Linked DNA regions of Neurospora crassa OR74A. The protein of the gene in region 3 purifies or fractionates together with the protein of the main gene of each other region. This does not show direct contact. Links are inferred from orthologs where the notes say so. Each region holds a gene or a part of one and is shown on either strand. Other genes may lie near its edges.

Region 1 (3,749 bases), about 540 kb from region 3:
GGTCTGCGCGGCAACGTACCGCAGCAGCCTGGCAACGTACACGTTGGGAAACTGCTCGACCACCAGAGGGATGTCGGTGTAAGGGATGGCCTGGAAGACACGCTGGATCAGACCGGCCTCGTTCAAGCGGAAAGCCATGACGAGAGCCTTGAGGTAGTCCTTCTCCTTCTCGAGCACGGCCAGGGTAGAGGTGGGGGTGATCTCCATGTTGAGGTCAAAGGGATCGAACTGGATGGTGGTGTCCAGGCTGTAGATCAAAAGACCTTCTGTGGAGGCGGCGCAGAAAGCACTTCCGTTCGGGGAGAAGGCAACGCCGTTTACTCTCACTTCGGGATTCTTCCTCCGTGCGGAGGGGTCGCCGCGCTTGGAGCCTGGGAGTGACCTGTCTATCCTGTCCTCGAAATCGGAGGCCTCGCCTTGCTCGTCCAGGAGACCCTGGGGTCCAGCCTCGGTGAGAAGCTTGCTGTTGAGGAACTCTTGAGTGCCTTGAATTGAAAGATTGACGCTCACGGTGTACTTCTTCAGGAGAACCATGGTGGTGACGGAGTACAAGCAAATATACTTGCTGTTTCCGCCGGCCAAAAGGCACGATCCGTCTGTGCTGTATCTGATGGTGTTGAAAGCCTTGGTACCGGCAACATTGGCCGCAGTCCTGCGATCACCGATCTTCCGACCGCCGGAGACATCCCTGCGTCCATCAAGACCAGCTTGCTGCTCAGCTTCCGAGACCGACCAGAACGACAGGTTGCCGTCGAGAGTGGAGATGGCAATCTGGAGAGAATCTGGCCTAAAGGCAATGTCGAGAACATCCGAGTTGAGCTGGAGAGGCTCGCTTGTTTGTGTGCGGTTGAAGATGGACCAGATACGGGCAGTGCGGTCCCAACTACCACTCACAAGAAGACCGCCGTTAGGCGCAAAGGCCAAGGATGACACAGGGCCCTCGTGTCCCGAAAGACGATCTAGGAGCTGGCCAGTCTGGACAGACCAAATATGAATGTCGAAAGAGTCAACGGAGCCAGCCGCCACGATTTCGCCACTAGGATCAACTGCCATGCAAGAGAAAGATAGCCTTTCTGGTGCTGTAAAGGTCCTGAAGTTTCTGTATCTGATCAAGTCCCAAGCCCTGATGGAACCGTCCAAACTCGAGGTAAACAGGACATTGCCCTTCTTGGAGAACTCGCAAGCAGTGATGCCGCTCGTGTGCTCTGTGAAGGTAACAATGCAGAATCCCGATTCCGTATCCCACACCTTAATCTTTCCATCATCGGCGACTGTGACAATCCGCTGACCGTCCGGAGAGTAAACGAGGGAGTTCATCGAGTCGAAATGGCCCTGCTGCTTGAGAATGTAAGACTCGGACTGCCACTCCCACACCAAAAGCTGACCAAGCTTGGATGCGCCAAACGCCAGCCACTCGCCGCTCTTGTTGATCGTCACAAAGTCAATTTCGTTCTGGGAGATGCTGAGAGTGTGGATCATGTTGAAGTCGGGCATTTCGTAGAGGCCAAAGATACCGTTCGAGAAACCGGCAACCAGCAAGTTCGATTCGGGATGGAAAGCGGCGCATCGTACGGTGGCGCTGTTCTGCATGAAATAGTGCTTGTTGACTATCCTCCAGGCCAGGTCATCGTCGTCCACCATATCCTCGTCCTGTCCAGGCTTCGCAACGTATTGCCAGTCGAATACGGCGCCGTCCTTGCTGACTGTGTAAATCGTCTCTTGATCCTTGGAAAACCACGCGCCCACGACACCCTGCCTGTGACCGGACAGAACTGTAGGTGTGAACCCCTCCTCTTGATCAACACTCCATATCCTTGCTGTGAGATCCTTGGAAGATGTGAGGAAGAATCGCGAGTCGTGGGACCACTCGATGTGACGGACATCGTCGAAGTGTTGGACGTGGGTATGGTGCTTGACGAAGGGCGCAAACTCGAGCTCGCCGTCGGCGTTGGCGTCGGGTGTTGAGGGAACGTGCCAAACCTCGATTTTCCTGCCGAGTCCAACAATGAAGTGGCGCCCCGATGGCGAAAAGGAGAGAGCCGTTACTGGAGCCTTGAAGGAGAAGTGATATAGTACTACGCGCCGGGGCACGTTGGTGAGAATAGCTTGGCCATCTTCGTCTATGGAGAGTAGGAGGTTGCCCTGGGGCGTGAGACCGATACGCGCAATGTTCTTTCGGTGGGAGAAGGGAAGGGTATATGATTTGTTACTGCGACCGTGTTAGCCAGCTTACAAGCCATGCGCCAGGCAGGTGTGTAGGGAATCTTGAGACGTACTCGACAAGGTTAAAGACTGTCACCCTGTTGCCAACGGGCGAGAAGAGATGGGTACCGTCCGGGCTGAACAAGAGGTTGCCCTGGCAGTAGACTGTGCCCAGTAGATTAGAAAACTTGAAGTCGGTCTTCATTTTCAAACACTATTCCATGCCTCGACTGTCAACGTTGGAGATGGAGCAGAACTGGGATAGTATCTGGGGATTCGATTATGTACAGGAACTGGAGGACTCTTTCGAGTCTGTATAGGTAAGTGGAACAGAAGTTCAGTTACAGGCTGCTGCTGTTGCGCCTAGACCGCCCGTACGTTCAATGGCGATTCTGCCAGCCAAAAATTTCATAAACTTTTTGGCGGGGAATGGAGTCGGGTTAGCTCCTCGCTTTGGCACCAGCTGGCAAAAGACTTGGCGTATCTGGCAGCCTCACCGACCGCAGCGAGACCAACCACTGCACGGCACCACCAAGCACGGTCACCAAGCACAGTGCAAGGCTGGCAGAGCTGGCAATCAAAGGGTCAAAGGGTCGACCAAGTTTCCATGGCAATGAATGGCTGATCACCGCCAATGGCGCTAGCAGGGAAGGCACGCATCGATTAAATGCTCGGCGAGGGTACCTGGCAAGCGCGTTTCAGTGGAGAGCTGCCAGCGTAGGTCCGTCTCTGGGGACCTGGAATTGGGGAAGTGTGGGAAGCAAGTGGAAAAGGGGAGGGTCCACTCATTTCCCTGCCGCGCAGCCAGTCAAGAGCGGCCTTGTGTGGTGGCAGCTCTACACTACTGCAGAATGCCGGGCTCGAAAGGTGCCATTGGATTATATGGATCGTGTACCGTGCGCCTTCTCGGCATCATCACAGACGGCTGCCGTGGCCCCGCCCAGGCACCTCATCTGGAGGATGGAATCGAATGCTGCTTGCTCGCTGCTTGCTCCGTCCGTCTGCTGCCGCGGCCCTGCAGTGCCTGGAGTGCTTGGGGTTCAGTCAGTGTGGGCTAGGTTTGGCCTGGCGCTCCCGTCCCCGTCGCTGGTGCTCTCTCCTGCGTGGGTGTGTGGTGCTGGGTTGGGCCAGATGAATGTGGTGTGGAAATTTGAACAAGTAAATTCCCCTGAACGAAAGCACAGAGCTCCACGACGGGTCCCCCGTCCACTCACCACTGCAGTTCCATCCCCCGTCTGCCTCTCGCTCCCACCCGTCCACTGTCAACACCAACCTAATTTCGATTCCCATTCACGACCACCACCATACCCGTACACCACGCATCCCGCCTGACGCTCTTTTTCTCCAATTGCCGGTGCTTCTTCTCGCCGTTACAGCAACGGGATCGTGACTTAATCCTCTACCCATAATTATCTCCCAGTTTCGTGTTTCGCCCAGCTGAAGATGGCCCCTGCCACTACCGAGAGCGCCTCACCGATTGGCATTGCCAATCTGCCCAACCAGCGACACAAGATTGTTGCTAAGAGAGGCGCTGCTTTTACTATTAT
Region 2 (3,673 bases), on a different chromosome or scaffold from region 3:
CCCTGGCTTTCAACGCTGCGCAAGATCAGCTCGCCAAGTTCATCGACCTCTTCCTGCGCGGACAAAACGAGAACGACATAGTCGGCGACTCTGGCAGCGTCCAGGCAGGCGGTAAGGTCGCGCTTGAGGGGGAAGTATTGAAGCTTCTGCTTGAATCTGTCGACGGGAACGCGGAATGCGCCCTCGGGCACCTCGGTCTCGATATCAATGCTGGCGTTCAGGCTCTTGATGGCTTCGGTAGCGTCACCGTCGCTGCACAGGGGGATAACGGCCACGTTTCTGGGGGCACCATCCTTGCCGGCGAAAATGGAGGTCTCCTGGAGATGTTCCTTGTGTTTTTGCAGCTGAAGCTGCTTGTTACGGTTGCGACGGTCGAACTTGGACATGACTTGTTGATGGGGGGTCTTGCGCACACCTCTCTCCTCGGCTACCTTGCCTATAGAATGTTGAAAGTATTAGCGCTGTGTGGACGTTGTCGACCTCTTTATATGCAGCTGTATATTCATGTCTGCTTGGGCTTGGTGCGCCAAAGTTGGGTGAAGTAGAGCATAGTCCAAGGCAACAACCTTGGCATGAGGCACGGCTGTTATATGCAATCCGTACCTTTGGCAGCATTCCGGAGAGCACCCTTGGTAGAATGGCGTGACTTGAAGGGCTTGTTCGACGCCTTGGTCGTCGGCCGATGCGAGTGGCCGCTCACGGCGCCGGGCATATTGCTGGAATCGCCGCCTGCTTTGAACCGAAAAGGGAGCGAGTTTGACGCCAGGATGTTGGACCTGGGGAGGCGATGAAGAGAAGAGGCTGGGGGGTTGGGACTGAAAAGAGATTTCGAGAACCTCTCTGGTCACAATCCGTCTATCGAGTATCGAATAAAGTGATGGGGACAATGTCAATGGCGGGGCACTCGTTGCATTTTTTTGAGTTGTGCGAACATGGGCGGCCGTCTCGCTACTTATCTTATCGGACTCTTGTACGCAGTGGAGCCAATGATCGCTGCGGAACAGCTGCCCCATCCAACTTTTTAGTGGGTCCGGCCCCAAAAAAGTTGTCGAGGAAAGGAAACATTCAAAGTGCCAAAGCGAGGGACAGACACGGGCACACCGAGAAACCGCCAGACCAATTCCATATTCAGCCCCCATCCATATCCCGTCGCCGATCCAACTGTCCTAGTCCACCACACATATTACCCATTCCCATTGTGTCGCGTCGACCCATTGGCACCATGGAGACTACAGACAGGGCCGAAATCTCCCTCTCGAGGGCAGAGCAGCCCAGCGGCGCCGTTGCCATCAACAACGTCCGAAGCGAGTTCCGATCAAAGGCCGAGGCCAACAAGATCCGCAAAGTCAAGGCAGCAGAGAAGTCGTACGGCCGTGGTCGCAAGATCGATGTCAAGAACGTCAAGGACAAAAAGCTCAAGCGCAACCTTACCAACCTCGAAGAAAAGTACCAGACGGCCACGCTAAAGGCCAAGGAGGCCGAAATCCTTCTCGAGAATGCCGGCGGTTTCCTCGAGGCTGAACATGAGCTTGTGAGTAGCCATGGCTTGGGAGTTTATAGCCTCTTGCGCGATACTAACCGCGCTGGTCACGATAGGAACGCACATACAAGGTTCGCCAGGAGGACATCGTCAGCGAAGTCAACATTGAGGTCGCCCAGAAAAAGTTCGACTTGAAGCTCGACCAACTAGGCCCTTACATTTGCGATTTTTCGAGGAATGGCCGGGATCTGATTCTGGCAGGACGAAAGGGCCATGTCGCTACGATGGACTGGAGAGACGGCAAGCTGGGCTGTGAGTTGCAGTTGGGAGAGACCATCAGGGACGTCAAGTGGCTACACAACAACCAATACTTTGCCGTCGCTCAGAAGAAGTACACCTACATCTACGACTCGCAGGGCGTCGAGCTCCACTGCCTAAGGAAACACGTCGAAGTCTCCCACCTCGAATTCCTCCCCTACCACTTCCTGCTGGCCACCCTGGGCACAAACGGCCAGCTCAAGTACCAGGACACATCGACCGGTCAGATCGTCACCGAAATCGCAACGAAGCTGGGCACACCCGTTTCCATGACACAAAACCCCTGGAACGCTATCCTCCATGTTGGTCACCAGAACGGCACAGTAACGCTATGGTCGCCCAACTCGTCAGAACCTCTGGTCAAGCTCCTTGCCCACCGTGGTCCCGTACGATCCATGGCTGTCGACCGCGAAGGCCGCTACATGGTGACAACAGGACAGGACTGCAAGATGGCCGTTTGGGATATCCGCATGTTCAAGGAGGTCAACAACTACTTTACCCGGGCGCCCGCTTCGTCCGTCGCCATCTCAGATACCGGCCTTACCGCTGTCGGCTGGGGCACCAGGACAACGGTCTGGAAGGGTCTCTTCTCGAAGGAGAAGCCGGTACAAGAAAAGGTCCAGTCTCCCTACATGACGTGGGGCGGTGAGGGCAAGCGCGTCGAGCGGGTGCGGTGGTGCCCCTTTGACGATGTTCTCGGTGTCGGCCACAGCGAAGGGTTCTCGTCCCTCATCATCCCCGGCGCCGGCGAGGCCAACTTCGACGCCTTGGAAGTCAACCCGTACGAGACCAAGAAGCAGAGACAGGAGGGCGAAGTCAAGCAGCTGCTCAACAAGCTCGCGCCCGAGATGATTGCGCTCGACCCCAACTTTATCGGCACCCTCGATTTGCGGTCGGCGAAGCAGCGGGAGGCGGACAAGGATCTGGACGCCGGGCCGCCGGATCTGGAGGAGGAGATGCGCAACCGGGCCAGAGGCAAGAACAGCGCGCTCAAGAAGTACCTGCGGAAGCAGAAGAAGAAGAACATTATCGACGAGAAGCGGCTCAAGGCCGAGGAGATGTACAAGCAGATGCAGGAGAAGAACGGGGAGAGGCACAAGGAGAAGGTGGCCGAGCTGGGGCCTACGCTGGCCAGGTTTGCGAGGAAAGAGTAGAGCATGAAAATTGGTGGGAGGGGTGGAAGAACAGAGTACATGATGATACCCAGAATCAGTCACTTAATGAAACCAAAGACGGTCAGTCGACCGGATGCTGTGCTGATACTATATTTGTTTACTTGATATGCTTACGTGTATGTGGAGACTCATCTTGTTGCTTGATAATCTATTCAAAAGTAAAAATCAAGACCTACGCCTTACATGCATCAAAGTCTTTACCTGACTGTATCGCTCTCTAAGCCCAATGATACTTTTATACCGTCCCCGTTACGCCATTTTTCGTGCTTCTCGTCCTTCTCTTTGTATCTACGTTCATGCTACCGTCAACATAACACACTTTCTCCATCCTCTCCCCGCTACAAAGTCTTCCCCCTTTACAGCAACTTCAAGTGACCAGTGATCTCATCAACCAAGCTCTTAGGCGCCGGACCAACGCCCAGCACGGTCCTGGACCCAGAGGCAATCTGCGTACGGCCAGCATCCTGAATCACCTCAGCAGTGACGCCCAAGCTGCGCGCCTTGGCCATCAGCTCCAGCATCTCATCCTCGGTCTTGGTTTGCACGGCGATCTTGGCCTGGCCGTTGCGCTCCCACTGACGGAGCAGGCGGGCCGACAGCGACAGGGGCTCGAGCTGGGCGGCAGAGAAAAGGCGCTTGTAGCAGGCGAGGGTGGCGTGGGAGCATTGAGCTGCGATTTTGCCTGTTTGTTTTCCACCAC
Region 3 (3,749 bases):
CTTGAGGGCGGCCGAGGACGCGGCGGCATGGGTCTCAGCCGAAGTGTCCTTCCAGAAGGTTACGCGGGAGTCGGAACCACCAGACACAAGCATATTGGTCTTGGGGTGCACCGTGAGCGTCCAGAGACGGTCTTCGTGGTTATCGAGCGTGCACTCGGTCTCACCAAGGTTGGCGTCCCAGACCTTGACGAGGGAGTCGGCGCCCGCAGAGGCGAACTGGATGCGCTGCTTGGCCTTGGAGGCGGCAGCAGCAGCCTCGTCTTCAGCGTCGTCAGCGGCCTTGGGAAGGCGCAGCCAAACAACCTTGAGGACGTTATGGGAGTGGCCCTCGAATGTGCGCAGACAGGTGTAGTCCGAGAGGTTCCAGAGCTTGATGGTCTTGTCACCAGAACCCGTCAAGATTACACCCTTACCGGAAACAGCAGTGCCGGTCTCGCCTTGAATGGCAGGCATGCCCTGAGGCGCGAACCGAACCGTCCAGACACCCCTGCGGTGACCCTTGAGGATACCTACGACTTCTAATGTTGCGGAATCCCAGATCTTGACCGTCTTGTCTTGTGATGCCGAGGCAAAAAGCTTTCCGTTGGGGCTGATGTCGAGAGCGTTGATATCCTTCTCGTGGGCTAAGCGACGGAGACTGGTTGAGACGGCTCCCTTTTGTGATGTTCGGGGAATGTCACGCTTCTGAACGAACCGATCCTGGGAACCGGAAATGAGGAATGCGGGCGGGTGGTCGAGGGGGTTCTTGAACGCCTCCGAGTTCTCGGGAGGTACGATCTTGGGGAGTGCGACAGCGCCGACAGACTCGATGTGGCCAGTGAAGACTGCATAGCACTCGAACGAGTTATTGGCTGGGTCAACCCTCCAGAGGCGAGCTGTGTTATCCTTGGCACCACTAGCAACCCAGTGGCCAGACCAGTCTACATCGAGAGACATGACAATATCCTCGTGTCCCTTGAGTAGAGCTACGTCATGGCCAAAGTATGCCGCGCCCTCCTCCTCGTCGCCCAGCTGGGGCTGCTTATCCGCCACGGATACAAGTCTGATATCTTCGGAGTTGGTTGCAAGAGCCATGAGAGACTGATCGGGCAAAAGGTAAACAAGGTCGAGAATTTCGTCGTGTGTTCCCGAGATGCGCCTGAAGGGTTCCAGAGGCTTCGTCGACTTCTTGGTGGCATCGGCGACCGAAGGTGTGCGGTAGAGGGCGAGGGTGAAGTCAGACTGGGCGCAAACAACAAGGTTCTTGTGGGGAAGAGCAAGGGCTGACACTATCGACTCGGCTTCCGACTTGGCGTCTTGCTTTGCTGTGATTTCTTGGTGTGTGGTTGTGTCCCATAGCCTAAGTAGGCCACTTGTTCCAGCCGAATACATCAAGCTTCCGTTGTTGAGGAAGCCGACAGCTTCAACGCCTTCATGGCGCAACATGGGTGTTCCCCTCCATGTCCCCTCCTTCCACAGCCATACTGTCATTGTCTTATCTCTGCTACCGCTGAGAAGGGCATGTAGTTCTGGTGAGTAGTCAAGGCTTTGTACGTTGGACTCGTGCGCTTCTCTCCTCGAAGTCGGGTCGGCGTAAACGGGGTAGGTCTTGCGTTTGCTGAGGTCAAAGATGCGGATCTTGCCGTCCTGTGTGCCGTAGGCAAGACGGAACTTTGAAGCGACGCTGTCATCCTGAGCTTGCTCCTCCTCGGCTGTGCTCTTTCGCCTGTTCTTCTTGTTCTTGTTGCTGGCTTGGTCCTCGAGAGCGGCAATCTCGAAGAAGTGGAGGGCAGAAATAAGGACACTCGGGCCGCTAACGGTATGGGTAACGTATCCTCCGACAATGTCCCAGATCTTGATGGCGCCGTCGGCAGCACCGGTGGCAAGAAGGGTGCTAGTTCGGTCGACCGCGAGAACCACGACGGGGGTGGCGTGGGGCTTCGTGGTGCGTACAAGGGTGGCTTCGATGGAATCGTAATCTGGTGAGACCTTGAGGGAGTATATGCGCATAGTAAGAGAACGAGAGCAGACAATCAGGTGGGAGGCCGAAGGGGTGATGGTGAGGGTCGAGATGGGCTCTCCGTCGCCCTCGATCTCGGCGAGCTGCTTGCCGGTGTTGAGCTCTGTGAGGACGGCCTGCTCGCCGAGGGTGGTCGCGAGGATCCTAGCGCCATTGTCGAGGGCTACGGAACCTCCTGTGAAAATGGGCTGGATGACATTGTTGACCTCGAAGGTCGTCTTGGTGGTGGTTTGCCTGTACGCCATTGTGGTGACGGAGTGTCTGGCTGTACAAGTGGATTAAATCAAACAGAGAGGCAAGGAGGGTTGCGATTGCGCGCCGCCGCCTTTGGGGTTCTGCTGTTAGAACGTCAAGTGTAGGGTGGTACACTGCAAAGTCCCCAATCCCAAAAACTTTTCGCGGGTCGCTGCCTGCCGCCCGCTGATAAGGCCAGGCAATAAGGTTATCTTAGCGCCATGCAGATCCAACCCCTGTAGGAATCCGTGACGAACCACGCTGGAGCACTGGAGCAACTGGAGCATGACCCTCCCTCGGCTTTCTGTGCTCCCCAATCGCCCCCACCAACGTCAACTGTCTGTTCCAGTCTCCATCACTCATCAGCTATACCACCACTATCTTCACCATAACACAATCTCTGGCACAGGACCTAGTTTGTTACACGAGGATGGCCACTGACTGGTCAAATTTCACCGTGTAATGTACACATAAACATCTTGGCAATGCCGGATAGTAATCTACAAACACCTCCTGAATCCAGTTGACCCTTTCACGATGCGGTTGGGCCCACTGACATCACAGGCCCTTGTAAGTCATCGTTGCAAGACTTTCGGGCTACAACTTCGTTCTGACACTAAGGACAGGGCCGGTCTCCCTACGATGAGGTAGTTGAGGGCACTGGCGAGCCCCAACCCGGGGCCCCAGAGCAGTTGTATGATGACCGAGGACGACCAGTGAATCCAGAGACACGGCGCATCAACAGAGACATCATCCGCTCTCACAACGAGGTTATGCTGGTCATCGGCGTTGCCGAACCGGACAGTGGCATCAACGAGGCCCAAGCTCTATACGAAGCCGCCACCAAGCACCAGTACTACGAAGATGGAATTGGGAGGAAGCTGTTCCTCACCGGCGAGGTCTTGGCCACCGTCGGAGTCTGGGGAGTCAACGGCTTGAGGCAGCGTATCTTGCTGTACAAGGACTACGCCCATGTTCCCTTTTCTCGTCTATTTCACTTTCACAGGCGCCAGCAGTCATGGGGAGAGTACCTCTGGGCCGGGCTGCCATCGTATGTCCTGAGCGATAGTTTTGCTGGATTCGACATGCCAGAATACCCATGGGTCAAGTACGTGTTCTCCTGGGTCAACTTACACCTAGAGATCTTCGTCTTCATGCAACGAACCGGCCTTGTGAACACCTCGAGATGGGTTCCCACCCTTGGTTTCTTCATTCCAGGCTGCAATGACTCCCCAATCTTCCTACCAAAACTCCCATCCTCCTTTACCCCTGGAAGCATCATCAGCTGGCTCGGCGCCTTTGTCGCCGGTATCGCCCCTTTTGCCGGCTACTGGTTCTTTTCAAAGACATACGCCCGGCTCGTCTGGTCACTTAGGCGGAAAATCCAACGACGCTTGCCCAAACCCATCAACTTCAGCAGGAGGAGGACTCTTAAGGAGGTAGTCCCCTATTTACAACCGCCCAGTGGAACATACATCCCTCCCACACCCACACCAGAAGAGCAGCAACAGCGACA

Evidence for each region.
Region 1: the proteins of pod-5 (region 3) and NCU03794 purify together in Saccharomyces cerevisiae (affinity purification with mass spectrometry; 12 studies listed by BioGRID). This does not show direct contact. The link is inferred for Neurospora crassa OR74A from reciprocal best matches to the Saccharomyces cerevisiae genes UTP13 and PWP2.
Region 2: the proteins of pod-5 (region 3) and NCU01502 purify together in Saccharomyces cerevisiae (affinity purification with mass spectrometry; 4 studies listed by BioGRID). This does not show direct contact. The link is inferred for Neurospora crassa OR74A from reciprocal best matches to the Saccharomyces cerevisiae genes UTP13 and UTP7.

The regions. Positions count from the first base shown.
Region 1 is NC_026505.1:2,437,413-2,441,161, forward strand, and holds the start of NCU03794 (periodic tryptophan protein 2), read right to left. Parts: upstream 2,582-3,749; 5' UTR 2,408-2,581; coding exon 2,277-2,407; intron 2,210-2,276; coding exon 1-2,209. Other genes in the region: NCU03795 (cell division control protein 12), read left to right, coding at 3,646-3,749. UniProt on the Saccharomyces cerevisiae protein: Required for bud-site selection and cell separation. Also involved in nucleolar processing of pre-18S ribosomal RNA.
Region 2 is NC_026502.1:3,253,059-3,256,731, forward strand, and holds NCU01502 (small nucleolar ribonucleoprotein complex subunit), read left to right. Parts: upstream 1-1,072; 5' UTR 1,073-1,222; coding exon 1,223-1,531; intron 1,532-1,596; coding exon 1,597-2,952; 3' UTR 2,953-3,142; downstream 3,143-3,673. Other genes in the region: NCU01503 (pre-rRNA processing protein Tsr1), read right to left, coding at 1-436, 604-712; NCU01501 (mitochondrial peptidyl-tRNA hydrolase Pth2), read right to left, coding at 3,330-3,655. UniProt on the Saccharomyces cerevisiae protein: Involved in nucleolar processing of pre-18S ribosomal RNA.
Region 3 is NC_026505.1:1,894,660-1,898,408, reverse strand, and holds the start of pod-5 (polarity defective-5), read right to left. Parts: upstream 2,338-3,749; 5' UTR 2,245-2,337; coding exon 1-2,244. Other genes in the region: NCU03627 (hypothetical protein), read left to right, coding at 2,771-2,803, 2,860-3,749. UniProt on the Saccharomyces cerevisiae protein: Involved in nucleolar processing of pre-18S ribosomal RNA.